Oryzias latipes: one gene and its partner. Each later gene encodes a partner of the first gene's protein in a complex. Links are inferred from orthologs where the notes say so. Each region holds a gene or a part of one and is shown in the gene's direction. Other genes may lie near its edges.

What was found.
Region 2: the proteins of ccnt1 (region 1) and cdk9 are in contact, whole or in part, in a crystal structure (PDB 3BLH), measured with the Homo sapiens proteins. The link is inferred for Oryzias latipes from reciprocal best matches to the Homo sapiens genes CCNT1 and CDK9. Residues at the interface, in NP_001231.2 of Homo sapiens: Arg5, Lys6, Arg11, Trp12, Arg26, Ile72, Gln73, Phe78, Phe89, Leu90, Lys93, Val94, Pro98, Lys99, Lys100, Leu101, Val134, Glu137, Ile139, Leu141, Gln142, Thr143, Gly145, Phe146, Glu147, Leu148, Thr149; in NP_001252.1 of Homo sapiens: Val8, Glu9, Cys10, Pro11, Phe12, Cys13, Lys56, Glu57, Gly58, Phe59, Ile61, Leu64, Ile67, Lys68, Gln71, Leu72, Leu81, Ile82, Glu83, Ile84, Arg86, Ile99.

What each region holds. Positions count from the first base shown.
Region 1 is NC_019865.2:25,907,743-25,924,290, forward strand, and holds the start of ccnt1 (cyclin-T1), read left to right. Parts: upstream 1-9,603; 5' UTR 9,604-9,637; coding exon 9,638-9,810; intron 9,811-11,542; coding exon 11,543-11,624; intron 11,625-11,712; coding exon 11,713-11,841; intron 11,842-12,394; coding exon 12,395-12,455; intron 12,456-13,029; coding exon 13,030-13,092; intron 13,093-13,220; coding exon 13,221-13,278; intron 13,279-13,380; coding exon 13,381-13,544; intron 13,545-13,667; coding exon 13,668-13,738; intron 13,739-14,167; coding exon 14,168-15,442; 3' UTR 15,443-16,548. Other genes in the region: sarnp (SAP domain-containing ribonucleoprotein), read left to right, coding at 189-240, 1,719-1,792, 2,750-2,784, 3,851-3,876, 3,959-4,027, 4,600-4,686, 4,787-4,828. UniProt on the Homo sapiens protein: Regulatory subunit of the cyclin-dependent kinase pair (CDK9/cyclin-T1) complex, also called positive transcription elongation factor B (P-TEFb), which facilitates the transition from abortive to productive elongation by phosphorylating the CTD (C-terminal domain) of the large subunit of RNA polymerase II (RNA Pol II).
Region 2 is NC_019870.2:30,282,714-30,297,709, reverse strand, and holds the end of cdk9 (cyclin-dependent kinase 9), read left to right. Parts: coding exon 1-117; intron 118-1,455; coding exon 1,456-1,604; intron 1,605-1,672; coding exon 1,673-2,038; 3' UTR 2,039-2,244; downstream 2,245-14,996. UniProt on the Homo sapiens protein: Protein kinase involved in the regulation of transcription.

The sequences.
Region 1 (16,548 bases):
GATTCCTCTTTGCGTGTGAATAAAGTTATCGTTTATCATTAACTATTATTGTAAGATAGTAACTTTTCAGGGAATTACAGTCGATGTTGCTCAGATGAGAACATCAAAAAAGAGTTCAGCTGGATCTGCTGGACTGTCATGTTCTTAGTTTTTTTTTTAATTTTTGAGAAAATAAATTCTACCTTCAGGTCTGAAGACAAGAAAGTGGTGAAAATCTCTCCTCCGTTGTCTGCTGGTGAAGTAAGTATGAGTCGTTTTCATTCACAAATAAACCTTGGTTTAGATTTTAGATCACGTCTGAGCTCTGAAATCTAATTTTAGAAGAGAAAAGCTTCAGAAAAACACTAGTTGACCTCAGACTTCACCTTTGTGCTCGTGTTTGCTCCTTTGGTTTGGTGTTTTTAGATTAAGTTTTGCTGAAATCTCACTTTGGGTAGATGCTAAAGCCAAACTGTTTAATACAAAAACATCTATTTTTCTGAAAAATAAAGCAAATCTTTCCTAAAAAGTGGAAAAACGAATCTGTAACTTAAATTTAACCAAATAAGAGCACAACCTAGTTATTTAAACTTAAATATTTTGCTTTTTTAAAGGACTCCATCCATTCATATTATTCATCATACTTGATGAATAATATGCTCTTACTCTGATAAGGACTGGATTATGGTGACTTTGCAAAAAAATAAATAACAATAGTGGTAGGATAACATCAGTGGCGGACCGTGCATTACACACCTGGGCCTTCAGTAGTGCAACGTCTGAATCACTCAACGCCTCATTAACCATATTATGATGCAGAAACTAGCTTTGCATTGCAGATTGAAAATTCCTGCAGCCACAATCAGTGCCTCTAAATACAGAAAACAGTAAACAAATCTTGTTATGCAACTACAGCCAGCACAAAACATTACCGCTACCATAACCACATCAATTAGGAATTTATTTATGATATTTAGATGTTCACTCATCAGAAGATGAGATTATTTGATGACAAAATCCACCCTCCTCTCTTTCCTCAAACAGTTCCATCATCCTGTCATGTAGATTATTGCTCTTCAGTTCCGTCAAGAAGTCATTTTCTGCTCGATCAAGGCCAGTGCTGAGAGCCCAGTCTGTCCATTTGTGTTGCTGCGTAGGTTTGAATTCACTTTAGATCCGAAAATGTCCGCTGGTCAGACGCAGTGAACACGGGGATGGTTGGTGCCAAACGCACAAATCTGTATGGCTGTTCATGCTCTCACTTAGATTTTTATTGGTTACTGTCTTTACTGTCAGGTGTTTTGGATAAAGCAATTGTCTAAAAAAAGAAACTTTTCTCAGCTTTATTGTCCCACATGGAGGAAAACTATTCTTTTCCCAAATGTGTCATTTAAAATTCATTGTTCAACCTTTAAAGCAGAAACCAATTCTTAATGCTGCCTTGGATAAATGTTCAGAAGAAGGGAGATTCTGAGGCTTCTGGTGCTCTCACATGTACAGTAGTTGTACTTCTGTCTATCTTTTTTCTGTTTTATTTTATTTTTTTAATCCTGATTTCCAGCGTCTTCCAACCGTCCTCGGCGGCCTTTTTTTACCTGGTGAAAACGCATCATCCTTTATTAGACACTCAGAGCCTGCAGCTTAGAAGAGTTTGGGGTTTGAAAGGAACAAGCATGTTTTTAGGGTTTTGTGATGAATTTCAGACAGTGACGTGTCATTTGTGGGCTTTTGTTGAGCAGAGGCTGCAGAAGAGGGCGGAGCGTTTCAACATGCCTGCAACCGCTGAGAGCAAGAAGGCCCTGCGGGCCGCCAGGTGAGGCTCCAGCTTTCCTCATTTCCCTACAGATGAGCGAGTGTTTCTGCCAGAAACACCGAGGAGAAGCACAAATGCAGGCTATCTTTGGGAGGAGAAATCAAAGATGAATAATAATAATAACATAGAAAAACAGGAACATTCTTTAGTGAAATGCATCTGTTCTTTGCACTGGCTGGAATTAGTTAACTTTTATATTCTGCAAACCAGGATATCTACAGTTGACCTGGTTGATACCCCCCCCCTCCCCCCCCCCCCCCCCCCATAGCTGTGGGATTTTTATCAAACTAGTCTTGTTTATTTTCCATGTGGTTGTGATCAAAATCCCAAAGTTTTTCTGTTGGTTTTTGTTGCATAGGTGAATTTGCAGGTGTTGAAATTTAAATTAGACATGACAACATGATTAAATGATTCAACCAACCTAAGAATCTTAAAATACATCAGACAGTGGTGTCAATATTTAGAAATAGGCCTGCAGAAGTAAAACTTGGTTCCTTATGATCAGACTGGACCTGAAGACACAAGATGAATGCAGATTCCAGCATGAAAGGCTGAAAAACATAGAATTTAAGACCCAACTGGGGCCTGATTGAGGATTTTGCACTGGTTGTAAAAATGAAAACCAAAGTTTGATTTAGCACCGACTTTTGGCAGCAATAAAAACGGTAAAACAGAAGGAACTGAACAGAAAAGCCTTCTTTGCTGATTTCTGTAGGAAGTTTGAGTGAAAAAATGAAAACATTATTGCTGCCAGTATTTTCTCAAACCAAATTTAACGATTCAACCTGTTACTTATAAATGAACGAGGCCCCTAGAAGCCCATTGAAAAAAAAAATGCAATTTAAAAAAAAAAAAGAACTAACGAGTGTGCACTTGTTGGTTCTTTTTTTTATTCTATTTTTATTAAATGATCAACTTTTATGGTGGTTTTTTTTTCTTTCTTTTTTTCTCCTGCAGGTTTGGTTCAACCACGGCGTCAAATCCCACTGCAGGTACGGCGTCTCTCTGTGACCTGCTGGTTTCACTGGGGGGGGGGGGGGGTTACTTTTTCCAGATGGAGGGTTCAGATTTAGCTGCTGAATGGGAAAAAAACAAACAAACCCTACATTTACTGTTTGTTTCATCGGCTTTAATTAAAGCATGGCCAATGAAAAAGAAGGAACCTGCTGAGGGAACACAGCTATGGTGCCGGCCTGTCCAGCTTCATGCAGCTGCAGACAGCTGTTCCAAATCCTGATGGTGCTTGTAATCTTCATTGGTCTTAATTCTCTCATTTTAGTCTATATTGTTTGTGTAGATGTGTGGTTTTTGTGGCAGATTTACAGATGATCTCTCACACATCAGAAAAATGATTAACCTTCAACCGTAGCAATGAAATGCAGCAATGCAGGACAATAAAATAACGGGCAAAAAGAAAAACGGCTTGTATGGAACTCCTATATATAAAACAAGAATATAGTAAGTATTAAAAAGCAGTCATCCAAAAGAAAAACTCTGACATCGCCACATCGCACATCACATTCACCTTTCAGGGATTCACTGTTTCGTTGATTTGTATTTTTTTTTTGTGCAATTTCGCGTGCTTTAACGTTTTTTTACAGTGTATTGTGTCCTGCGTCTTGATTGGCTGTAGATCTTGTCAATCATTCTCCTCGACACCGTGTCCCCTTTGCAGAATGTTTGCCTCTTCCATCGCCATCAGATCTTTGTTTTTAGACTTATTTTGCTTCGAAGGGTTTGAACTTTGAGAGTTCAAACGAGAGACGAAAGCGTCCAACTGTTCATGTGTGTCTGAGAAGAAATGTCTAACGTGTGTTTTGTCAGGTTTTGCTGCCGTAAAACATCTCCAATAATTGTAAAAAATAAGTGAACTACTTCAGATTTCCTTATCGTGGGTTCTTGTCAGAACAGAACTCCCACAATAAACAAAGAAATGCTGTTTGCAGAAATAAATGACAAATGTAATTTAAATCTAAAGTAAATTCAGAGAAAATGAGATGATGGTTTTTGTGATGGTGTCTTTGCTTCATGCTCTCTGTTGTCTTGCCTCCCATGCAGGCCTGGTGGTGAACAGTAAAGCTGCTGTAAGTCCTTCACTGCTCCTCGTTCTGCTCATTCTGTGGAGCCTCGGCAGACCAACAGTCAACGTTTCTGTCTCTCTTGAAGGTGGATGTTGACCAGCTGAAGAAGAGAGCGGAGAGGTTCGGCATGAACGTCTCCTCCATTTCTCAGAAGGTGAGAGCTTCGGCGCCTCACCACAGTCACTGGTTTTCCTTCAGGATTCTGAATGCAGCATCTGATGAAAGACGCCAGAGTTTACTCTTCTTCTATTGATTACAATTTAACTGGTTTTTATTTGAGGAAATATTTGCCTTTTTTTGCTTATATAAATGTCTAATGGTTGATGAGGACAAATTATTACAATGATCCCTGTAAATGGAAAATTCAGAGGAAGTCTGAGGATTGCACCAATTTAGTCCATTTAGGGACTAAGAGCCAGAATCTCTTTTTTTATTTTTTGTTATGGAGCCTGAGCCTGATGATGCTAACATTCTGTTACCAGCTTAATGCAACCTTTTTGTTTATGCACATAAATCAATATTTTGTTGTTTGTTTTTGGTAAAAAGTATATTACTTTTATCATCTTTTTGTCCTCGTTAAGTTTGATGGAGACTGATCACCAGGTGGCGCTAACGTTTATTTTTCTTCAAGAAACTGTCCTTGAACTAAGTTATCAAAAACTAAAACTAGATGTGTGCTTCAGTTGTCACTGGGATGAAGCAATGCAGTGTATTTGATTTCCTCAGATTGAGGAGGATGAGAAGCTGAAAAAGAGGAAGGAGCGGTTTGGGATCCTAACAAGTGCCTCCCCAGGCGGAGCAGAAGATGCTGAGGTACTTTTCCGTCTCGTTCACTTATCAGGGCAAGTCTGAAATGATGATACAAGTCTAGCTGGCTGTTAATGTCGCCTTTTTCTACTTTGTGTCTCAACAGGCAAAGAAAAGGAAGCGCGCTGAAAGATTTGGAAAAGTGTGAATGTTTGTTTTCTAGAGTTTCACAGCGGAGGGCAGACAGATGCTGTGCACGGTAGTTCTGTTGATCAAAAGTACACTTAAATACTAAGACGTCTGCTAATACATTTAGTCTTCAAAGCCCTAAAAAATTTATTTTTTTCCCTAAAAAAAGATTGGTAAACTATTGAATCAAGTATTTGCTCGAGGCTTCCTGCAAATTCTTCACAATAAAAGTCCTGCAGATCTGCGTTAGAGTGACTCCTCTGCAAATACTCTATCAAACATGGAAACCGGTCAGAGTCTTCTGCTAAAATAGGTAAACTGCTTATCTAGAGATTTTCAAAAGTTTCATTTGCTGTGGTTTTAGGATCATGATGCAGCATTTTTGTGCAGTGAAACGAGGAATAAAACTTAAAAAAAAAAAGTCCTCTGGAAAATATTGGGCTGAAATAAAAAAAATTCAGGCCCAAACACGGGAAAAGTCGTTTCCTCGTCTGACTTCTTTTCAAACTCTGACTGCTGTGGTTCACTCTTGGTATTTCTCTGTACTTTGACCCATCTGCCTGTTCATTTTTGTTTTTTTTTCCTTGGGGGGGGTGGGGGGGGGGGCGTCCCATTGTTACGCCTGTTTAATTATCTGTCTGTTTTATAACATTTTGTGATTTAAAATAAACTTTTTAATTTTTGGACAGTCGCCTCTTATCAGCCTTTTACATCAGTATTTTGGTTAACAGTTCAACCTCCTTAGCAAAATGTTGGGGTAGATCGTTTCTACATTCTGTCACATGAGCTGAGCATTTATGAGGTCAGGATAAAAATATCTACAAATGTATTGTAATTATGTATGTTATTTTAAATGAAGCCTAACCCCAAAAACTACCAAACTCTGTCTCACTGAGCCACTTTGATCTTGTTGAAATTGCCAGTTACATAAAAAAATACTTTACTTTCAGGAATCAGGATCAGGAAACTTCATTGTCATTTTATCATGATAAAACGAAATTAGGCTCTCTGGTCCCGGGCCAGCCGTTTACATTCAGACATAAATAAATATAGTATCAATAATGATATCAGACTGTTACGGAGTATTGCACAGAAGTATTTTTCAATTGCACAGTATGTTATGTTAAGCATTGCACAGCCCTGTGATATTGCACTTGGGAATTAGCTTGTTGTCCATGGAGAGGGGGGGGAGGGGGGGGTGTGCAGTGATCAACCGGAGTTCAGCAGTCTGACTGCTTCAGGAAAGAAACTGTTCCTCAGTCTGGTGGTCCTGCTCTTTATGCTCCTCAGTCTCCTGCCTGAGGGGAGCAGGGAGAACAGAGGGTGTGAGGGGTGAGTGGGGTCTTTCTGGATGCGGGAGGCCCTGCATCTGGTCGTATAGATATCAGTGGTGGACGGCAGGCTACAGCCCACAGTCCTCTGTGCAGCTTTTGTCACTCGTTGCAGAGCTTTCCTCTCTGCCGCAGAGCAGCTGCCGTGCCACACAGTGATGCAGGAGGTCATGACGCTCTCCACCACACACCTGTAGAAGGTCAGCACTGAGATCCCCATCCCAGCACGCCTGAGCCTCCTCAGAAAATACAGGTGCTGGTGTGCCTTCTTGACCAGGCAGGAGGTGTTGGTGCTCCAGGTGAGGTCGCTGGAGATGTGCACGCCCAGATACCTGAAGCTGGAAACCACTTCCACCCCGTCCCCTCCGATGTGAATGGGGGGAGGGGGGCATCTGTCCTTCCTGAAATCCACGATCATCTCCTTGGTCTTCTTCCCGTTGATGCAGAGCTTGTTGTCTCTGCACCAGCTCTCCAGATGTTCCACCTCCTGCCTGTAGTTGGACTCATCGTTGTTAGAGATGCGTCCAACCACGGCTGTGTCATCCGCAAACTTCACGATCAGACAGCTGGGGTGAATCGCTGTGCAGTCGTGCGTGAGCAGGGTGAACAGGAGGGGGCTCAGCACACAGCCCTGGGGGGAGCCCGTGCTGAGGGTGATCGGGGAGGAGGAGACGTTGCGGATTTTTACAGACTGTGGTCTGTCTGTCAGGAAGTCCAAGACCCAGTTGCACAGAGTGGGGTTCAGTCCTAGTGTGTGTAGTTTCTGGGTGAGGGTCTGCGGGATGATGGTGTTAAAAGCTGATGTGAAGAGCAGTCGAACGTACGCGTTCTTGTTCTTTCATACTTTACTTTCAACTAGTACATAAATCTACTTCACTCATCAAGAAACATAACTTTTACATATTCTCGATTAAAGTATATATATATATATTTATATTATTCTGAATTTTGTTTGAACACAGCTTGGAGACAAAAAACGGAAAGAAATGTTTAGGAACTTGTGAGAAGGAAAATATTTTTTAGTTTCAAAGAATCTAGTTGGATTTACAGTTTTGCAATAAACATTTTCTACTAAACTTGGTAGATCAAATTAACCTTTATTTATATAGCACTTTTACAACAACACATGTCACAAAGTGCTGTGCATAAAATACAATAAAATTTAAAAACAAGATGACAAGACAAAGAGTGCCAACAACCCCCCAAACACACACTCATACGCACACCATGATAAAAAAAATGATGGAATGTAGAGACCTGGCTTCCTCCTGAAGTGGGGAAACGATAAGTTACTATATTTAAAAGCTCAGACTCAAAGAAGTCATAAAATGTTTTCAACAACGATGTGGGGATTGGGTCTAAAAGGCAGGTGGTTGGCTTTAACTGGGAGAAAACCTGACCAAGTGCCACAGCATCAACCAGGACAAAACTTTCCAGTGTTTCCTCTGATAAATGCAATGCTATAGTTTTATTCAAAACGACACCTTTTTGAGTTAAGAGACTAGATCTAATAGCATTGATTTTACTCTTGAAGTGGTCGGCAAAACTCTCACATACAGCATCTGAGGCTGCTGTGGAGGACCTTTAAGAGTCTCTTTTAATTAAACTGTCTATTGTTTTAAAGAGAACTTTAGGATCATTTTTGTTTTGTAAAATCAAGTTTGCTTTTTTTTATTGCATGGTTGTACATCATTTGCGGTTCTTTAAAAATTTTGCGATGTATAGTTAATTTCGTTTTTCTCCACTTCCTCTCCGCACTCCTGCATTCACGTTTCATGGCTCTGATTGATTCGTTCCTCCAGGGTGCTGTAGCTTTAGTTTTCAACGTTTTAGTTTTAAGTGGAACTACGCCATCAATGGCTGTATCCATCATTCCATCCATCCATCCATCCATCCATCATTTCATTCATCTATCCATTCATCCTTCCATCATTCAATCCATCCATCATTCCATCCATCCATTCTTCCATCTATACATCCATCCATCATTCTATCCATCCATCCATCCATCCATCCATCCATCCATCATTCCATCCATCCATCCATCCATCCATCCATCCATCCATCCATCCATCCATTCATCATTCCATGCATCCATCCATCCATCCTTCCATCCATCATTCTATCCATCCATCCATCCATTTATCATTCCATGCATCCATCCAACATTTCATCCATCCATCCATCCATCCATCCATCCAACATTTCATCCATCCATCTATCCATCCATCCATCTATCCATCCATCCATCCATCTATCCATCCATCCATCCATCCATCCATCCATCCATCCATCCATCCATCCATCCATCCATCCATCCATCCATCCATCCATCCATCCATCCATCCATCCATCCATCCATCCATCCATCCATCCATCCATCCATCCATCCATCCATCCATCCATCCATCCATCCATCCATCCATCTATCTATCTATCTATCTATCTATCTATCTATCTATCTATCTATCTATCTATCTATCTATCTATCTATCTATCTATCTATCTATCTATCTATCTATCTATCTATCTATCTATCTATCTATCTATCTATCTATCTATCCATCATTCCGTCCATCCAACCATCCATCCATCATTTCATCCATCCATCCATCCATCCATCATTCCATCTTATTCTGCCCAGGTTGCGGTCAGTCAGCACCAAGGCCTTCCCAGCGCAGCTGAGAGACATCGTTTCTCCACCGTGTCCTGTTCTTCCCTGGGCCCACCGCCCAGTGGGACATGCCCAGAACGCCTCACCAGGGAGGGGCTCTGGAGGCATCCAGACCAGATGGCTGAGCCGCCTCATCTGGCTCTGCTTGATCTAGGGGAGACGTGGATCTACTCCGAGCTCTCTCCAGGTGATCAAGCTTCTCACCCTATCTCTACAAGACCGCCCAGCCACCCGATGGAGGAAGCTCATGTATTCAGGACCTCGTTCCTTCAGTCATCCCCCAGAGCTCATGACCACAGGTGAGTTTTGGAACAAATATTGATCAGTAGATTGAGAAAGTCAGAAAGTGAAGCTCCAATGGTCCACCTCCAGCACATGTCCATGTTTGTTAAATCATGCCAGAGGCTGATCCAGAGGAGCACTAGGAGAACAAAAATGCTGAGTTTTATCCCCAAGAACACCATACTAACTGTGAGGCATGGTGGTGGAAACGTTATGCTTTGGGGCTGGTTTTCTGCGAAGTGGACAAGAAGACTTATTAAGGAAAGATAGATTTGAGTGAAAACCTCCTTCAATCAGTTGCACTGTGAATGAAACGGGGCTGTATCTTTATGGAGTAATATTTATACCACCACACTGCAAAAAAGAGAAGAAAAAGTATCCAAAAAATCCAACACAGAATCTGTGAAGGAAATGCAAAAACCCATATTGCCTAGTAACACATTGGTTTTGGCGACATCTGTCGGTTACCAGAGGAACAGCGCCCTCTGTGACGTATGTTCCTGTGACGCGCAGAAATTTTAAACTCTCGTCCTTCTTAGTAATGGCGGCTTCGTTTCGTTCTCTCCCTGCAAGCAATAATAATAAATGGTACTTCACCAGGCAGGAGATCGACAACAACCCCTCTCGGCGAGCTGGACTAGACCCCGACAAGGAGCTGTCGTACAGGCAACAGGCAGCGAACCTGATCCAGGACATGGGACAGCGGCTCAATGTGTATCTTTTGTCGTGCTGCGTCGCACGTAGCTAGCATTAGCATGCTAGCCAGCAAAGTGTAACCTGCTCGGCCAAGAGCGTGGCCGGTATTTCTTGTGTTGTTCGACGGGTTCTTGTTTATTTGTTAGTATCGTGTGTTGTTGACTAAATGGCGGTTGTTTTCCGTCGCTGTTTCTACGTTAACATCTCCCTGCGGCGTCTCAGGCTAGCCGGGTCCACCAAGGCCTGTAGCTCGACAGGCCTGTCCGGGACGTTAGCTTCACTAGCCGCAAATGACTAGGAAGAAGTTTTCTGAACAGATGAATATATTCTGCTAAAAAATAAACAGCACAGTTATAGTATAAATTGAAATTGAATCAACTTTTTAGGAAAATTGTTTATTTGTAGGCTTGAAAAGCCTCTTCAGAGGCTGTGAGTGAGGGATTGAGGTTATACTACTGTACTGCAACCTGGCTTTCGTTGTTTGTGGTGTGGTGGTAAAAATCATGATGGGCTATTTTTATTATCCTCATCATGGACGCTTCATATGTTCTGGGGGGCCTCACGGTGAAATTTAAAGGAGGCCCTCCAACCAAAGGGTATCCTAAGTTATGGAAAGCTCATAAAACACGTGAATGTTGCTAAAGAATTCCCAGATTTAACTGTATTTCTTAGTTTTTTTGTTTATATGAATGTAACTAAGCTAAACGTTTTATTTTCAAATTAAGAGGCATGCTCAGACTGCGATCCAGAAGAGCTCTGAATAGGACACACAAAGCTCCCAAGAGCTAGTAATCTACTGTAATCTGCACCACCTACTTGTTTATTTCTTTAACCGCCACGACTGGCTAATTAGATGCACACCATTTAAGAAGAAAGGGAGGGGCTTTTATATCCTAAGCATGTTTGAATTCCACACCACTTCCACGGAAAGTGGCTTGGGAGAATCTGTCAAAGGTTGGAGATGGGGGGCCAGTGGGCACCAAATCATTTTACCGAGACATTTGATTGGTCAGTTTATAAATTGTGATTAAGAAAAAAAGACCAGGAAATAAATTTGCAAGAACCTGTAAAAAAATATATATAGCAGAGCAAGAACTGTTATTCTGAGTGACAAGCAGTGTGACTGAGTAATAGCCATCTATTTCTCTATAAAAGTCTATGGGAATTTTGGCTTCTTGGAGCCAGGGGGTACTTCCTGTTTGGAACATAAGGGAGGAGGGGTCAGTATGTCTAGTTTGTATTTACAGTTAATGTCTGCAACGTGTGCTATGCAGCCTATTCCAATTAAAAAAAGTCCGTGTAAATCTCGGACTTGGTAGTTGGGTATGGATGGCGTCACTTTTGATTCACGGTTGTACCGTCCATTTGATGATTTTAAAAGAGAAATTATCAGAGTTTGTGCCCAGCCAGAATTCTATGAACCAAGTCTTTCATGTCGGAATAGAGCTGTGAAAGAAAAAGCCTGGAGCAAGTTTTGTGAGGTTTTCCCCACTTGGACATTTCGCACCAAACTTCTAGTAGGTGGCAGACATGTGCTAACAAATGGTAATAAAGAGAGAGAAGAAGCCCCTCCCTACTTGGGCAGTGCGAAGACCATATGCTGCGATTACACTCAAGAATGTCCATCGCGTGTCCGGTGTGTCCGCAGCTTTAAGGATACACGTTCTGTCTGTGTCACTTTAGCAAAATTCTCTCCGGTGGCGTTTTAGGATTGCACAGTTTTTCCAATGGTCCTTAACTGGCGTGACAGCTCCCAACTTACCATTAACACAGCCATCGTGTACATGCATCGCTTCTACATGATCCAGTCCTTCACCCGATTTCACCGAAATGTAAGTGTTTTCATGTCCAAAACCATTTTGTTTTAAAGATTTATTTACCGGTGGAAATAAAAGTCACAACTTATCACCTCCTCCTCAGGTGATTTCTCCTGCCGCACTTTTCCTCGCTGCAAAGGTTGAAGAGCAGCCCAGGAAGCTGGAACATGTCATTAAAGTGGCCCATGCGTGTCTCAATCCTCAGGAGCCGTCGCCCGATGTGCGCAGCGATGTAAGTGTCTCACGGCGGTGAGATGAGTACTCGTCTGTCCTGCATTTCAAAAAAAACTGCAAAAGCGCTGCTTGGCTTGTAAATCTGAACTGCTCTCCTGTGTACTGCATTTCATTGAGCTGTCTTCTCAGTTCTTGTGTCTTAATTGTGTGCATCACTTAATCCCAGTTTTTCTTTTCTAGAAAGAACAATGTTTGCCATGGTTCTGTGATAAGAGGAGGGGCGGGGGGAGTTTCTTAACTCTTTGGTTTCTTTTTCATGTTAACTTTAAACAACCACTTGACCGACTTGTTGACGTTTTTTTTTTTTGAGACGCTGCTCCCTATGGGTTGAGAGAGCAAGGGTCAAAATGCGTCTGATTGTGTAGGTTTCAGTCACCCAGGTGATGTGATGTCTATCGGTTGTAAAACAGGAGTGTCTGCGCTCGCTTTGTGGACTTTTACATGAATGGACGAACATTTCTAGGACCACAGAGTGAGCTGCTCAGACACTCTTGTTTGACAACAGTTTGCAGGCGTCTGGGAGAGTAACATGCCTGTCCTCTCAACCTCAGGCTTACCTGACACAAGCCCAAGACCTGGTCATTCTTGAGAGCATAATACTCCAGACCTTGGGTAAGTTTGGGAGGCAAACCTGGGACCCTTCCTTTCCCTCCAGAGAATCATCCTGACCGAGATGACCTCTGCAGCTTTCTGTTTCCAGAAACTCCAAATGTGGTTATCAGCACTGGAAAACACATACTCAACTCATGTTAGAAGCATTTCCACCACTGTTCAGTCGCATTTCTTTCATTCTCTTTATCGTTTACCATTTCAGTCCTTTATTTTCGTCCTTTTTTTCTATATAAATTTAAGAATGCTTTTTCACAACTTCGTGGAGCAGAACATGTTTGAGGAACTGAAAATGATGGGCCATTTTTTAATTTTCCTTCTACTTTTTTGTGTGGATTAGGTTTTAATATTTTGATTTTGCCCAAGGTTTGATCCCATGAGAAGAGTTCTCATAAAACGTTGATCTCCACTTGGCGTTTTGTTTGAATAATTACACATTTTTTGTTTTTTTTCTTAGGGTCTTTGGTAACGTTACCTATCCAGTGGAAGCCAAATGGTTCAAATAAACCTGAACGTTTTAATTTGGCAACCAGTGAGCTGATGTCTTTCTCTTTTCTTGTCCCCCTTTTTGTGGCAGCTTTTGAAATCACCATTGATCATCCTCACACTCATGTTGTCAAGTGCACTCAGCTCGTCAGAGGTGAGCACCTTGTCCACAATATGCGTATATAAAGAAAAAAAATGCCGTCTATTTGGCACTATTCAACAACTTGTACCTCCAATTGTTAATTTGCAGACTTTAAGGTCTTTTTTTGTTTCTTTGTTTTGGTTTTATTGCAGCCAGCAAGGATCTGGCCCAAACATCCTACTTTATGGCAACTAACAGGTATGCCCTCCTTTCACATCGGCTTTACGGTGGGAATTTTGATGTGGAAATGGGCTGATTTGTTTCCTCTCTCTCTCTCTTTTCGTGCGTCCTGCCACCCAGTCTGCATTTGACCACCTTCTGCCTGCAGTATTGCCCCCCCGTCGTGGCCTGCGTGTGCATACATCTTGCATGCAAGTGGTCCAACTGGGAGATCCCCGTCTCCACTGATGGCAAACACTGGTGGGAATACGTTGATCCCACGGTTACTTTGGAGCTTTTGGACGGTACTTCACAAATCCTGTTGTTTTTTTTTTTAACTATTCTTTTTTGTAAATGCAAAAATGGTGTAAAGAACTGCAAATCCGTCTTTGGAGAGTTTGTGACTGTAGCCTGTAACTCTTTTGCAGAACTCACGCATGAGTTTCTGCAAATCTTGGAGAAAACTCCTAGTCGGCTTAAACGGATTCGGAACTGGAAGGTACGACTTTGTTTCTGCCTGTAAGCTAGCGGAGCCCACAGTTTCTTGGTCTCCACCTGCTCGGGCTTTCTTCAGGGTGGTGGGCGAGCAACGGCAGAGTGCACACAGCAGCCCAGCCGGGTGCCCGGTTCATGGGTGGGGCTCGAGAAGCACATGCTTCTGGACGGCACTGCTGCCTGAGTGGGTTTCAAATGCTCCTGCAATCTGGAGTGGCATTCACCCTAGGAACCGGCGCGTGGCTGTGCCAGCAGAGCCTATGCAATGGCAGGCAGAGGGGGCTGGTCGATCACACATCTGGCACTCTGTGTGGTTAAACATGCACATACGTGCACTGACGTATGGATCCGATTGGGCTCCCCTGCTGAAAGCCAAGCGCTCTCTTTTTGTGTGAATGGAACTTCTGACCTAATAATGTTTCTTGTTTCTCAGGCTGGAGGCCAGACCCCAAAGGTCAAGCCCAAGGTCCAGGAGGAAGGTGAACAGAGAGACGCCATGATCAGCATGATCTCCATGGTCTCATCAGAAAGTACTGTGGCAGGACTCATGAGCCTCTCCGCTCCATCGGGCTCCTCTTCCTCATCTGCGGGCGACAAGGTCACACCTGGGAGCGCTCAGACGTGGAGCGGGAAAGGTGCGTCTGCAACTGAACTACCGCCCAACCACGAGGTCCACGCTCCTGCCAAAGTGTCACTGAGTGAGTACCGGGCCAAGAACGCAGATGTACTAGCCGCCCAGAAGCGGAAGCTTGAGAACATGGAGGACAGCGTCAAGAGAGAATATGCCAATGCAGCGAAGGCTCTCATCGGCCAACAGCAGAGGAAAGAGAAGCAGCAGCATCACCACCAGCAGTCCAGCTTTTCTTCTGACATGTCTAACCCCTCGCCCATTATTTTGAAAATCCCCCTGGAAAAAGAGAGACACGACCGCTCTTTAAAAGTGCGTTATCCAGTACCTGGGTCAGGAGGGGGCAGCGGTGGCGGACACGGCAGCGGCAGCAGTGCGCAAAGTGGCAGTGACCGAGGTCAGGATGCAGACATTAAAGTCAAAATACGAGTGCCTGACAAACTAAAGACAGGCTCTGGGGAGGATGGTAAGAGCAGGGACAAGCACAGGGAGCGCTCTAACCACCACCACTATCACCATTCCTCCAGCAGCGCTTCACTCTCGTCCTCCCACAAACATTCTAGTACAAGTGGGGGCTTAGGAAGCAGTAAAAAAGTTCCCAATGACTCTTCTAGAACAAGTTCTTCGTCATCCTCAGCCTCACGGAAGAGGACGCACCTTCCAGACCCTGCAGCCGGCTCCCACCCGCCCCTCAAAGTCAGCAAGTCGTCCAGGAATCCATACCAACTACCGTCCCTGTCCGCTTCCTCTGGACAAACTTTGGGTCATGGACCCGACCTGCTTCCTGCTTTGGGCCTTTCCCACCACCAAGGGGCGTACTCGCACTCCAAAAGTGACAAGACGGACACAAATGGCCACAGTGCAGCGGGCGGGGTCCAGTCCAACGAGTACCAGGACACTTTTGACATGTTAAACTCTCTACTGAGCGCTCAGGGCGTCCAGCCGGCACAGCCGTCCATGTTCGAGTACCGCTCTCAGTACGGAGACTATAGGTTCCCCGCTGGGTCCAGAGGGAACAACCCCAGACCCCCACCCCTACCTTCAGAACCCCCTCCCCCACTTCCTCCATTACCCAAATAGCCCACATACTCACCGTCAGAAACGTCCACTTTGTTACAAAAAGTGTATTGTACAATGTTTCAAATGTTGTTTTACTTTTTGGACTTTTCTACTCACCCAACATCGTCGCAGGCTTCAGGGGGACAGCAGAGAAATGTACCGGGGTGAATTTTTTAAATTATGATTTGCATTTTATTGGTGGTGCAATAATATTTTAAGGATTTCTTGAGGAAAATCAAAAAGCAAACGTGTAGATATCTCTATTTTCTTTGGATAAACTCTGATGGTGGGAGACAGTTTCAAAATCCCGAGCCGTCTCCCATCACTTTTAGGTCCTTTTTAATCCACATCTTTTTGTGATGTTTTTATTTTTTACGATAAGTTATTTATTGACTCCTTTTAAAAAAACGTGTTGCTTTTTTTTTTATCTTTCTATGGCCCGCTCTGCTCTGTAAGTGCAGAAACGTCCTAAAAGTGTATCGGCTCATTTGAGAGTGCATGTTTCCAAAGCCATCTTCAGTTTTTAGTTTTCTTTCTTTCTTTCTTTCTTTAAAGAGCCATATAGAAATGATAGCCCTGGGCGTTCTGTTTTATTTTATGGACATTATTGGGTTAACATGAAAACAAAACTGCAGTATGTGTAAAAGAATATTTTTTGGACATTTTGTTATGGAAAATTGCCAAAAAAAAAATGGAAATGTAAAGTAAGGAAAGCTTGTACATTTAGTCTTTTTTAAGTGTTGCAGTCATTGTTTTAAATGGTTGTGAAATATCCATATTCAGTTCTCCTATGAATACACTTCATACTAAGGACATGCATAGAACTCGTCAGAGGTTTAACATATCCACCCATAATGGTCATGATGAAGGACTTGTCAACAAGATAAATGGGGAAAACGTGACAATATATTTCTGTTTCATGAAATGTAAAGGTTTTTGATGATACTTTTTAGCACATAATTTAAAGTGGTTGCTATGTGCATTCCTCAAAAACCTTTGCATGCATAATATAATTGTGTAAAATGAAATTGTTGTTAAAAATACCTCCATTGCAGGACCCTGAGTATAATGAGAAATGAATGTTTTCTATTTTGTATAAGCGCTCAACAGTGGAAAAGTTCAATTTG
Region 2 (14,996 bases), on another chromosome or scaffold:
TCAAGCTGGCAGACTTTGGCTTGGCCCGGGCCTTTAGCCTGGCTAAGAACAGCCAGGGGAACCGCTACACCAACCGCGTGGTCACGCTGTGGTACAGACCTCCAGAGCTGCTGTTAGGTAAACGCCGCAAACCGCTGAGGAACGCTGGAAACGTGGAATTTAAACATTAGAATGTCGTCTTTCAGGGCTTTGTGCAAAAACGGAACATTCCTGCTGTTGTCTTGGTGATTTCACATTTATGTTGTTGGAAAGTAAATCTGCAGCAGATCAGCAAAAAAAGAAAGATGGGACCAAACGACAAGAAAAAAGCCTTCATAGTATATATTTAAGTACTTGTACACACATCACATCCAAGCATTTGTTCATCGAGGTCTATTTATTAAACATTACCGACCTTTGAACTCACGATATTCCCATTGTAAAAAACCACCCAGATCCAGGAAGTCTTCTGGTTCATCTGGGAAACGACAAAAGAATATTTAAAAACGGAGCAACGATGTCCGGCTTTACCACCTTCCCTGCTGCTACCAGCCCGTCGCACTGGGACAGACAGCAGCGTCTTTGTCCCGCCACGGCGCCAGGACAACAAGCCTTCAAACTGGGTCACGGCGGTACCGCTGAACGCCACTGTACACGCGTGTGCCGGACCATGGCAGGGATCCGTGTGGATCGGGGATCAGAAATAAAAGCCGTGTTTGGACACGGCTCAGTGTTTCAGGATGTCTGGTAGAAATCCAGCGTTGCAGTCTAGAAAACAGATCCGGGTCAACGACACCAAGAGGTCCGGTTATTCATCCGGTTATCCGTGACACATGTTGGAGCCTAAAGCTTCCTGTGCGTTTATGGACCGGTAACCATCTTGTGCTGTATCACTGTGAAGCAGTACTATGGAGAGTGTTTAGTAGTAATATTATGCGTGGTGACGACGCGACTCCAGTCGTTCATTTGTGAAATGATTTTTTTTAAAAAGTGACGTGACTGGATTCAGGGTTTGGGGCCAGAATGGAGGATTGACTGAGCTGGGAGTGAAGAAACAAGAGAACCAAAAGGTTTTAACGGACACTTTCTGCTTCAGTACTTCAGACGTAGATCGGTTTCTACATTTGAACTTGTTACAAGAAGAACCAGACCTAATAGAAATGTCGTCTTCCAGACATGAGGAGTGTCTGTCACTGATCATGTAAATATATGTGCACAGCTGTAAAATTAAAAAATGCGGACTGTAAATACTTTTCACAGCTCTGGTTTGGGGCTCCTATGCGACCCAGATGCTGCATGGCCCCTTTTTGCGGCCCCGACTCCTGCAGAAACGGTTCCGGAAAACGACGCGGGTTTCAGGTTACATGGCTGAAAACGTCGTGGTCGTCAGGGAAACGGGTCTTTAGAGGCTGACGAGTCGAGAAGCAGACGGCTTCAACAGGAAACCAATCGCGTTCCTGTTCTCCTTCCCTGCAGGGGAGCGCGACTACGGCCCCCCCATCGATCTGTGGGGGGCGGGCTGCATCATGGCGGAGATGTGGACCAGAAGTCCCATCATGCAAGGCAACACGGAGCAGCACCAGCTCACCCTGATCAGCCAGCTGTGTGGCTCCATCACTGCAGAGGCGAGTGGTCTTTGGGGGCGGGGCTCTGCGTTGCAGCAGCTCGCTGTCAATCATTTCTGTTTCTCCAGGTGTGGCCCGGCGTGGACAAAAAGTATGAACTGTACCAGAAAATGGAGCTTCCCAAAGGCCAGAAGAGGAAGGTCAAGGACCGCCTCAAAGCCTACGTGAAGGACGCCTACGCCCTGGATCTCATCGACAAGCTGCTGGTTCTGGACCCGGCTCAGCGCATAGACAGCGACGACGCCCTGAACCACGACTTCTTCTGGTCCGACCCCATGCCCTCAGACCTCAAGAACATGCTGTCCACTCACAACACGTCCATGTTTGAGTACCTGGCCCCGCCCAGACGGAGGGGGCACATCCCCCAACAGCAGCCCAACCAGAACCGAAACCCGGCCACGACCAGTCAGACGGAGTTCGACCGAGTCTTTTAGCCCCACTGGACGTCTTGGACCGAGTTTGACCGGAGACTCTGCTGTGAGGCCAGTTATGATCAAACGTTCAGGTTTTATGGGATCAGGAATGAAACGGACAGAAATGCTCCTTTATCCAGAATCTGGTAGCTTTTTCAGTTGAACTGATTGTTTTCATTCAAATGTTCTTTGTAATAAAGCAACACAATCGTGAACATTTATGGAAACGTCTGAATGCAAAGCAGGAAAGTGGTTTTTACTTGTGTGAGTCGGTTAGAGAGGAAGTGACGATGAGAGCCGCAGACACTAAACCCTCTGAGCTTTTGACTTAAACGCCGTCATTGTTCCTTTGGGATGTTTAGGAGGGGGAGGAGCTACCTGGATTCATGGTTTGTGGCATGTTCTACAATTGAGCCAGAAGGAAAACTAACGTGTTTGTTTACATGTGGAAGCACGTAAACATGGAAACCCCTGAAGGTAATTGGGTCCAACGACCCGGAAAACGGTTGACTGAGCCAGACCGCAGTACAGGACCGTTGTAGGTCTGTGTATTCCCGGCTGGATTCTGATGAGACCGTTTAGCGTGACGGCATCAGAACGCGACGTCTTTATTCCATCATGGATGGACGTGTGCACGGAAGAGCAAAGCCACAAACCTGAGAGGACGGACAGAGCAGAGGCTGTTCAGTCTAAGGGCTGCTCAGCAGACCCACCGGCTGCAGGAAAAGGCTTCCTGAGTGAGGTCGGTCAGAGATCTGCTGCGGCGGCGTTGGATTCAGAGACCGGAAGAAGACGAGGGTCGACACTGGAACATCTGTTCCCAGGACGAAGGACAGAACAGGAGGTGACCACAAAACCAGAGGCGTGGCCCTGTAACAAGGACCGAATGATTCGATGATGTGGTAAAGTGATGAGCGATAAGGAGTTTGTTCCAAAACAAAGCTGTCATTTGGAATGAAAACCTTTAGTTCTGAAGGAGGATGCAGCATCAGCAGCTCACCTCTGGCATCACAGCTGAACGCCTTCAAGATGTGCAACTGAAGCTGGCAGCAGGAGAAAGCCTCAGTAACTGCTGATTGACTTTAGCACAAATATGGGCGTGGGGGTTGTTTTTACACCCCCTCCAATAATACTGGTAATGCAGATCTAGTGTGTGTCTGTCTGGGTGCAGAAGTCCTGTGAGATAAATCTTCCATCATGAATGTATGAATAGACTTCCATCCTGTAAACAGTTGTGTGCAGACTATTGGTTGATGTGTGAACTAAGTCATGCAATTTACTGAGGATATTATGTTATGACTCTGTATTATCAGCCCCCCACCCCCCACCCCTTACCCCCCCTCTAACACCCCACTCTCTCTCTCCTTTTCCGTCTAGTCCAACAAGGAATACATACAAATATGAATATTATAAATAAAGCTTAGCCTCAAATCCTAAAGGGGTTTATATAAATATACTCTGTCTGTCTGAGGATCCATGAACCCCCACTGTAACAGTCAAATCTGTCCAACAAAGAGGCCTTCAGCTGTTGGACAGGATAAGTTTCAAACAGTTTCTTTTATTGTTCATTTGTTTTAAATGAATGATTTACTGAAAGCCTTTTTGGGTCACTGGTGTTTCTTCTGCTCCAGCTTGTGTCTGTATGTTTGTATGAATGCTGCTGCTGGAGTCCTGACCAGAACCAGGAAGTATGATCACATTAGTCCTGTGCTCAGGTCTTTGCACTGGCTCCCTGTACCTCAAAGAATAGACTTCAAAGCAGCTCTGCTTGTGTACAAGTCTCTCCATGGCCGAGCACCAAAGTACATCTCTGACATGTTAGTGCCATATGAACCATCTCGTACTCTGAGGACCTCAGGGGCCGGCCTCCTGTTGATTCCCAGAGTCAGAACTAAAAAGGGGAATCAGCGTTTCAATATTCTGCAGCTAAAATCTGGAACAGCCTCCCTGAAGTCGTAAGACAGGCGTCTTCTGTGTTCATGTTCAAATCTAGACTTAAAACATTTCTGTTTAGCCGTTTATATGACTGAAAGGTCCTATCTGCACTTTTCTTTCCTTTCCTTCCTTTCTTTTTAAATCAATTTTCAATTTTTTTTTTTTTTTTAAAGTACATTTTACGTTGATTATTTCTATGATGTATTGTGATTTTAATGCATTTTTCTGTTTTGTGAAGCACCTTGAATTACTTTGTGTACAAATTGTGCTATACAAATAAACTTGCCTTGCCTATGTTTATGTCTTTAGGTTAGTTTGCATGTATCTGCTTTAAGTGGCATTCATGTTATTTGAAAAGTTGTGGTTTGTAGTAAATATTCTCCTTTATAGTTGCCGTCCAGATTTGGTTTTTGTGCAGTGCATACATGTGCACGTTCCTCCACACATGTATGCTGCGTGTTCATAACCATCAAACCACCACAGGCCGGTTCTGCTCCGATGATGGATTACCGTTTTGGTTCCAAAGCTCCTCCACTGTCACGTCTGGGAAGGGGGTGCATGTGTGGCGACAGGATGACAACAACTAGCAGCCATTCTGAAGGAGTCCAGCAGACAGATGGGCCTCTTAATGCTGAAGCCATCTGCACACAAACGGACAGCGAAGGAACCAGGAGATCATCAGTCCTGATGCCCGTCATCGTGTGAAGGACTCCTGAACTGTGCCAAGTCTGAGCACAGAGGCAGACCGGCGTTCTGAAGACGCTTCTTTTTATTTAGCTGCATTCAATTGTTAAATCGTTTGAAATGACCAATAAAAAGCAGACATTTGGGGGAAATGAAAGCACAGTAACATGCTGACGGTTGAACGTCCGTGGTCTGGAGCTGGAGCAGGACCAGGTCCAGATCCTGAAGACAGCCTTGGATGACAAAACAGCTGCAGGTAAACCTACAGTCAGGACCATAAATATTTGGACAGAGACACATTCTGTCTGATTTAGTTTCTGTACATTACCACAGTGAATTTGAAATAAAACAACTCAGATGCCATTGAAGTGCAGACTTTCTGCTTTTATTCCATGGGTTGAACAAAAAGATTGCAGAAAAATGTGAAAAACTAAAACATTTTTAAACACAGTCCCTTCATTTCATGGGCTGGTAAGTAATTGGACAAATTAAATAAGTGCAAACCAAATGGTCATTCCTAATATTTGGTTGAAAAGCCTTTGTTGTCAATGACAGCCTGAAGTCTTGAACTCATGGACATCACCAGATGCTGGTTTTCTCCTTCTGAATGCTCTGCCAGGCCTTTACTGCAGCGGCAAACAGTTGCTGTTTGTTGGTGGGCCTTTCTGTCTGAAGTTTAGTCTTCAACAAGTGAAATGCTGCTTAAGGGTTCAGATCAGGTGACTGACTTGGCCATTCAAGAATATTCCACTTCTTTGCTTTAATAAACTCCTGAGTTGCTTTGGCTGGATGTTTTGGGTCGTTGTCCATCTGTATTATGAAACGCCGTCCAATCAGTTTGGCTGCATTCACCTGGATCTGCGCAGACAGGGCTGCATTCACCTGAATCTGCGCAGACAGGGCTGCATTCACCTGGATCTGCACAGACAGTCTGTCTCTGAACACCTCAGAATTCATTAGGCTTCTGTCCTCTGTCACGTCATCAATAAACACTAGTGTCCCAGTGCCACTAGCAGCCATGCACGCCCAGACCATCACATTGCCTCCACCGTGTTTTACTGATGATGTAGTGTGCTTTGGATCAGGAGCTTCTCCACGCCTTCTCCATACTTTTCTCTTGCCGTCATTCTGGTAGAAGCTGATTTTGGTTTCATCTGTCCAAAAAATTGACACAAGGCAGAACACAGGACTGGACTCAGATGCAGAGTTTTGGATCGTTTTAATTTCTTAGACCTTTATAAACTAGGCTTGGCTTGTCAAGGAGAAAACAAGACAATCAGGCACAGGACACAGGGAAACTCTGGCTATAAATACATGAGGAGGGGAAGCACAGGTGGAAACGATCGGGGATGATGAGGCAGGATCAGCTGTGGGGAAACAGACAAGGGAAGGGAGAGGAAGGACTGAAACGAGAGGCGAGTTAAACCTACAAAATAAAACAGGAAGTTAAACACGAGACAACACCAGAGACTGACAGGAACTTGACAAGACATGACAGAACCCCCCCCTTAAGGACCGACTCCTGACGGTCCAGGAGCCCCGGACCTGAAGAAGTCCGTCACGAGAGACCTGTCCACAATGAAGCGTTCCGGGATCCACTGCCGCTCCTCCGGACCGTAACCCTCCCAGTCCACCAGAAACTGGCGACCCCGGCCCCTCTTCCTGACGGCCAGTATTTTCCGGACTGTGTACACCGGACCACCTCCCACCATTCTGGGCGGAGGAGGAGGCTCCGCGGGAGGCACCAGGGAACTGTCCACCACCGGCTTGATGTTGCTAACGTGGAACGTGGGATGGACTCTGAGGGACCGGGGCAGACGAAGACGAACCGCAGCAGGATTGATGACCTTGGTGATGGGAAATGGCCCCACAAACCGCGGGGCCAGTTTCCTACTCGGGATGTGTAGATTAAGATTCTTGGCCGAGAGCCAGACCTTCTGTCCGGGATGGTAATCTGGAGCGGGACGCCTGCGGCGGTCAGCAGCCGTCTTGACCCTGTCCCGTTGTCGTTCCAGGACTTGTCGAGCGGCAGCCCAGATGGGAAGGCAGCGGCGGACCAGGGCGTGGACCGACGGAACCGAAACCTCAGATTCCTGCGCCGCAAACAGAGGAGGTTCGTAGCCGAAGACGCACTTGAAGGGCGAGAAGCCTGTAGCCGAGGTGGGTAAGGTGTTGTGAGCGTACTCCACCCAGACCAGATGCCTGCTCCATGTCGAGGGATTCTGGGAGACCAAGCACCGGAGGCCGGTTTCCAGCTGTTGGTTGAGGCGTTCAGTCTGGCCATTGGACTCCGGATGGTAACCTGAGGTCAGGCTGGCCGTAGCGCCGATGAGCAGACAGAACTCCCTCCAGAACCGGGACACGAACTGCGGACCCCGGTCCGATACAATGTCCTTGGGGAAACCATGGTACCTCACGATCTGGTTCAGGAAAATGTCAGCTGTGGCCCTGGCCGAAGGCAGTCTAGGCAGGGCGATGAACCTGACCATTTTTGAGAACCGGTCCACAACCGTCAAAACAGTGTTGTGACCACGTGAGAGGGGAAGCCCTGTGACAAAGTCCATGGAGACCTCCGCCCACGGTCTGGAAGGGATGGGAAGAGGCTGTAGGAGTCCCATGCGTCGTCCGGTGGATGACTTGTTCCGGGCACAGACTGAACAAGCGGAAACGTACTCCCGGACCTCCTGCTCCATGCATGGCCACCAGAATCTCCGGGAGATGGCGTGCATAGTCCGCCGCACTCCCGGATGACAGGAAAGCAGTGAGGCGTGGGCCCAGTGAATCACCCTTGAGCGTAGGTTTGGAGGAACGAACAGGCGATTCCTCGGGCACCCACTGGGCGTCAGCACCCCACCGTTAGCCTGCCTTACCTCTGATTCTATCTGCCAAGACACTGCTCCAACCACACAAGTCAGCGGAAGGAGAGGTTCCGGTTCTTTGGCAACAGGCGCGGGGTCGAATCGGCGAGACAGGGCATCCGGCTTGACGTTCTTGGACCCCGGCCTGTAAGAGAGGGTAAAAGAAAAGCGGTCAAAGAACAGTCGCCAACGGGCCTGGCGAGCGTTAAGTCTCTTAGCGTTCCGGATATACTCAAGATTTTTATGGTCCGTTCAGACGATGAAGGGGTGCTGGGCCCCCTCCAACCAATGCCGCCACTCCTCCAGAGCCACCTTGACCGCCAGCAACTCCCGGTTGCCGATATCATAATTGCGTTCCGCTGATGAGAGACGGCGAGACAGGAACGCACAGGGGTGCATCTTCCCATCCTGTTCAGACCGTTGGGACAGGACGGCTCCGATCCCCTCATTGGACGCATCCACCTCCACCACGAACTGCCGGTGTGGGTCAGGCAGGGTAAGCAGCGGAGCCGATGTGAAGCGGCGTTTCAGAGCTCGGAAGGCGGCCTCGGCCGCCGGTGTCCATTGGAACTGCATACGTGGAGACGTGAGGGCATGGAGGGGCGCAGCAATGGAGCTGAAGCCCCGGATAAAGCGTTGATAAAAGTTCGCAAACCCCAGAAACTGCTGAAGTTTCTTACGGCTGTCAGGAGACGGCCAGTCCATCACGGCGCTGACCTTGGCAGGATCCATCTCCACTGTTCCTGCAGACACTATGAACCCTAGAAAGGCGACGGTGGAGACATGGAACATGGAGAGATGATTCTCCAGTAGCCGCTGAAGAACCGCAGAGACATGGGAGACGTGAGAGTCTAGGTCGGGGGAGTAAATAAGGATGTCGTCTAAATAGACGTACACGAATCGGTCCAAGAAGTCTCTGAGTACGTCATTTATCATGGCCTGGAACACGGCGGGAGCGTTGGTGAGCCCAAAAGGCATGACCCGGTATTCATAATGTCCTCTGGGTGTATTGAAACCGGTCTTCCACTCGTCTCCTTCCCTGATCCTGACCAGATGATAGGCGTTACGGAGATCTAGTTTGGTAAACACCTTGGCCTGCTGGAGCTGGTCAAAAACAGAGGACATAAGTGGCAACGGATATCTGTTTTTAATTGTTATATTATTGAGATGCAGCAGCGGACCCTCAGGGATCCGGTTGTCTGTGCGGATGGCCAGACCGATCAGGGAGTCCAGACCCGGAGGTAAGTCCAAAGGTATGAGCTGCTCCTGGATGCGCGGAGCCAAACCCTTGAGGAATACGTCATACAGCGCCACCGAGTTCCACCCGCTCTCGGCCGCTAAGGTGCGAAATCGAATGGCGTAATCACAGACAGAGTCCCCACCTTGGCGTATGCTGGTCAGCTCCCGCGCTTTGTCCCGGCTGGTAGACACCGGATCGAACGTGGTCTGAAGAGCCTCCTGGAATGCAATGAGAGACGAACAGAGCGGAGAGTCGCGAGCCCACTCTGCCATGGCCCAAGCACGGGCCCTCCCCGATAAATGGGAGATCATGAAGGCGATCCGAGCTCTGTCTGACACAAAGGCATGGGGGGAATGTTCAAAATGAATGGAACAGTCTGTCAGAAAGAGCTTACATAGTCCCTGCTTCCCCGAGTAACGATCGGGGGGGGGCTATCTTGATTTCCTGAGTCCAGGCAGGCATGGTGGGAGAGGGAGGAACAGGGATGGATGCAGAAGCACCCGGAGGCGTGGTGACCCAGGACGGACCCTGGCGGAGATCCTGAACATGGGTGGAGACCTGCACCATGTGAGATGCCAGGGCCTTCTGGAAGTCCTCCTGCTGAGAAAGGCGGGCTTCCAGGCGTTGCAGAACTGAAGTTAAATCGCTGCGCTCTGCTGAGTCCATTCTGGCCTGATTGTACTGACACAAGGCAGAACACAGGACTGGACTCAGATGCAGAGTTTTGGATCGTTTTAATTTCTTAGACCTTGATAAACTAGGCTTGGCTTGTCAAGGAGAAAACAAGACAATCAGGCACAGGACACAGGGAAACTCTGGCTATAAATACATGAGGAGGGGAAGCACAGGTGGAAACGATCGGGGATGATGAGGCAGGATCAGCTGTGGGGAAACAGACAAGGGAAGGGAGAGGAAGGACTGAAACGAGAGGTGAGTTAAACCTACAAAATAAAACAGGAAGTTAAACACGAGACAACAACAGAGACTGACAGGAACTTGACAAGACATGACAAAAATGTTTTTCCAAAACTGTGCTGGCTTTTTTAGATGCTTTTTAGCAAAGTCCAGTCTAGCCTTCCTATTCTTGAGGCTTCTGAGTGGCTTGCATCTTGCAGTGTTCCCTCTGGATCTACTTTCATGCAGTCTTCTTTTGATGGTAGACTTGGATATTGATACACCTACCTCCTGGAGAGTGTTGTTCACTTGGTTGGCTGTTGTGAACGGGTTCCTCGTCACCATGGAAATGATTCTGCCATCATCCACCACTGTTGTCTTCCGTAGACGTTCAGGTCTTTTGGTGTTGCTGAGTTCACCAGAGCTTTCTTTCTTTCTCAGGATGGACCACACTGTTGATGTTGCCACTCCTAATACTGTAGCAGTTTCTGGTTTCATGTTTTTTCTGTTTGCTCTGCTTAATGATGGCTTCTTTCACCTGCATGGAGAGCTCCTTTGACCGCATGTTGTCTGTTCACAGCAAAATCTTCAAAATGCAGCACAAGTCCTCTAATCAACTCCTTTTATCTGCTTCACCTATAATGACATAACAAGTGAATTGCCCACACCTGCCCATGCAATAGCATGGAGGTCAATTGTCCAATTACTTACCAGCCCATGAAATGAAGGTACTGTGTTTAAAAAATGCTTTAGTTTTTCACATTTTTCTGCAATCTTTTTGTTCAACCCATGGAATAAAAGCTGAAAGTCTGCACTTCAATGGCATCTGAGTTGTTTTATTTCAAATTCACTGTGGTAATGTACAGAAACTAAATTAGAAAGAATGTGTCTCTGTCCAAATATTTATGGTCCTGACTGTTTGTATATGAGGTTTGTGGGTTTCTGCATGAAAGTAATACCACAGTAATACCACACGGACAAATGTTTTTATTTTTGTTGGATAAAACTGCTGCCGTCGCTGGGAGACCCGGACCTGTGCAGCAGCTGCTCCTCATCGTGGGAGACTCTGTCCGGGTTGGCGGGTACCACATGCTGTTGTTCTCAGGAGCGGTCGTCAAACATTAAAAACTCTGCCCTCTACTGTCTGGTAAACTCCCCTCTGCGGAGACGTTCATCCCACATGCAGGCACCAACAGCCTGAAACTGCAGCAATCAGACTGGAAATGAACATCATCATTCTGATTCACAGCATCCAGCAGTGAAACAGAAACTGGATCACTTCCGGACCACGACCTGCACCCCGTAATGGAGACATCGTGTTCTCACACGTCCGCCAGCTTCACATCTGGTTAAAAACATGTCGTCATTCCATACATTGATAATTTCACGACCTTTTACAACAGACCATACCTCTTTAAAACAGACAGTTTCATCCTGACTATAGTGGTTCCGTCTTCTCAGCCTGAACTTTGATCTCACCTTTCAAAACCATTCCCAGCTGACGGTTGCCTTCATGTAATGCTGCATTTGAGGACTTTGCAGACCACTTCATGGGTCAAATCAATGCAATAAGATCTAACATTTCATCTGTGTAATACACTGGTTTTACCAGATCACCAGCATTGTTTTTACCAGAAGAAACACTGGGGAGTTTTGTTCTGGTTTATGCGGAGATGCTTGGTCGAGTTCTATCCCAGGTAAACGCTACAACCTGCCCTACATGAGTAAATAACCAAAACACTTTAGAAACATATCAGTTTTAGGACCAACCACAGAACAGAGACGGCTCTTTTAATGATCGTTAATGATCTTGGATGAAATTCTGACTCTCAGAAACTTTCTGTTCAGGGGCTGCTGGACCTTAGAGCCGCCTGTAAAACAGTAGATCACCAGTTTAGGAGTGGGGTTGGCCTCTCAGGAACTGCTCTTAAATGGTTTCATTCTTATCTCACAGCTTGAATCTTTTATGTAAGTATGGATACATGCTCCTCAAGGATCCATGAAATAAGTTGTGGTGTTCTCCAAGGGTCGATTATGGGTCCAATACTTTTTAACTTGTACATGTTGCCTCTTGGTGATGTCATCAGGAGAGACAGCGTTGACTTTCACAGCTATGCTGATGACACACAGCTTTACATCGCTGTGTCTCCTGATGACCTTGAACCTATAAACACTCTTTTAAACTGTATTTTTGATATAAAGTCATGTATGGCAGAAAACTTCCTACAGCTTAACCAGAACAAAACTGAAGTTTTAATCATCGGTTCTGAAGACAAGAGAGAGATGATTTTACAACATCTTCATTATTTTAAACCCTCTCAATGTGTGAGAAACCTGGCTGTACTTTTTGACTCTGAGCTGAATTTCATTCCTCACATCAGAAACATTGTGAAAACAGGATTTCATCAACCTAAAAACCAGAGTCCGCTTGTTCCTCTCTCTTGCCAGCACAGAGGTGCTAATGCCTTTATTTATAGTCCTTTAGATTATTGTAATGCCCTGCTCGTTGGTTAATCCAGAAAATCTCTTTCAAACTTACAACTTTTACAAAACTCGGCGGCACGAGTTCCGACGAGAACCAGGGGGCAGGAACACATTACACCGGTTTTAAAATCGCTGCATTGGCTCCCTATGTGCTTCAGGATTGATTATAAAATTCTCTTAAGGGTTTTTATGGTCTTGGGTTTTCATATTTAACCAATCTACTTTTAAACTATGAACCCTCTGGGACCCAGAGGTCCTCCGGTGCTGGACTTCCTGTTGTCCCTAAGGTGAGGACCAAAACTCACGGTGGGCCTCGTTCCACCATCATGGTTCTAGCCTGTGGAACAGCCTGCCGGAGAACCTCAGGGCCACAGAGACCGTAGAGGTTTTTAAGAAGAGGCTCAAGACCAATTTTATTTTCTCAATTTTATGTTTTTATATTAATCTCATTCCATTCCATGAAAAACAAAGCATATTTGTATAAATGGTTTGATTTGATTTGATTACTGAGGCATTTTCTGCCTGCTGGACTGTTGGAGCCTAAACTTTCCTGAAGAAGAATGTTCACATTTATATAAACATATGTTTATTAAAGTTTTAAAAAAAAAACAACATACATTTGAACAACCACTGAGATGAAAAAACAAACAGGAAGAAAACAATCAAAAAAGACAAAAAAAAAACAGACACACAAAAACCAGGGCAAGAAATGAGAGTCTATAAAGGAAACTTAACATTACACTGCAATTTGAAAAAATCCTTTCCAAGCAATAAAGAAAAATAAAAAAAATAAAAAGTGGCACAATTAACTCTGTTGTGGGCGGGTTGTATCTTTTTTATACTTGGTTAAATGATCCAAAAAAGGCTGCCACACATCAAAAAATACTTTTAGCTTATTTTCCAGAACATATCGGATCCTTTCCATGTGCAGAACACTGGTGAGTTCAGAAAGCCACATCTTAAATAGAGGCACAGTGTCAGATTTCCATAATGTCAATATCATTTTTTTTGCAATCACCATTCCATAAACAACTGCTATTTGTTCAGAGGAGTTAAAGCACAGAAGAGATGAACTATTTCCCAACAGAGCTAATTTTGGATCAGGTACCAAGGTGCGTTTGTATAAATGATAGATAGATAGATAGATAGATAGATAGATAGATAGATAGATAGATAGATAGATAGATAGATAGATAGATAGATAGATAGATAGATAGATAGATAGATAGATAGATAGATAGATAGATAGATAGATAGATAGATAGATAGATAGATAGATAGATAGATAGATAGATAGATAGATAGATAGATAGATAGATAGATAGATAGATAGATAGATAGATAGATAGATAGATAGATAGATAGATAGATAGATAGATAGATAGATAGATAGATGACTTTATTAATCCCACAATGGGGAAATTTCATTTCTGTGGCAGCAACACAACATTCAGAAATAATCTATATAATATAACATCAATAAAGGACATCACAAATGACATTTATATTAGATAATTAAAAATATTACTAAAATTATTATGAAAAATTATTATCAAAAATGAGATTCTTATTAAATAAAGAAATAAATATTAAATAAATACAGCTGCAAAAGTGTAAAAAACATGCGGTCTGCAAAACATGTAAACTGTAAAAAAACATTACAAATTTTTTCAAAATACAGAAATAACTAATGAAGATCACACCAAGAACAAAAACAAACAACTGTTCAGGAACAAAAATCAATTTAAAATTGAAAAACAACAACTACAACAAAAGTACCGTAAATTCCGGACTACAAAGCGCACCCGATTACAAGCTGCACCCACCCATATTCACGTGTTTGACTGCTTTTATACATACACAAGCCGCGTCAGAGTCCAAGCCGCGCATGTGTTAGGCGATATTGTCATCCTGACAGATCACGCCCAGCATCCCAGAGTGAGTGCAATTTATTAGCACATTGTGGGTGGTGCCAGTTTTGCCTCTGGCTCATGTATTTGAGTGTATCGACATCTGTCAAACAGCATGGACCTCTATTCTGTTCACAAGTTCCTCAGTTATGGTGTTTTTATTTCATTTTTTTTTACTTATTGACAATCTAGGTATCTAACATAAAATTACAAACAGTAACCATATAATCAACATTACATCCCTCAGTTATGATGAGGAAATTTACATCCGCGATTCCACATTTCCCATGAGTCTTAGGGGCTAAAGGCGGGGCCAACGCCCGGCTCGCCATACTGTTGTACGTGTTTAAGAATGAGCAAGTAGCAGCAGTGCATGGAGGGGTGAACGGGTACAGCTCTCCTTCCGCTTGTGTCGCAGCAGTGTTATGGGAGTAACAGGGCTGGTTAGAAAACACAACGGTAAAATAAAGCAGCGGCGACTGAAAAGCGCGCGCCTCAGCGCGGCGCGTGCGTCAGAATTCAGAAGCCTCTGCACTCCGCGGACGCCTCTGCGCTCCGCTCCCGCCCCGCGCGCTCCTTGTCTCCCCTTCCTATCTACTCCGACACCTCTGGCCAGGGCAGCTTCAAGGAGGAGCACTTCGTCCCCGTTGCGCCGGTGGACGGAGCAAATCGTGTCTGTGCAGAGCAATCGGACTTAAAACTGTACGTTTTGTGTATGAGGGGCGGATGCGTTGTTTCGTGTGGGAGCCATCAGACTGCCATCGGCCCCGCAGCTCAATCAGCAGGAGAAGATGTCTCCAGCTCACACGGAGGCTGTGAGTTTTTCAAAGCAAAATTCCGCTTTTACGGTTTCCTTAGAAACCGTAAATGGAGTGTAAATTCACTCCATGCGCTGTTCTCTCCGTCACGCAGCAAACCGGCTTTTCCAAACCCGTTGGTGACGGTGGACTTTTTTACGCTGCTTTTAACGATTG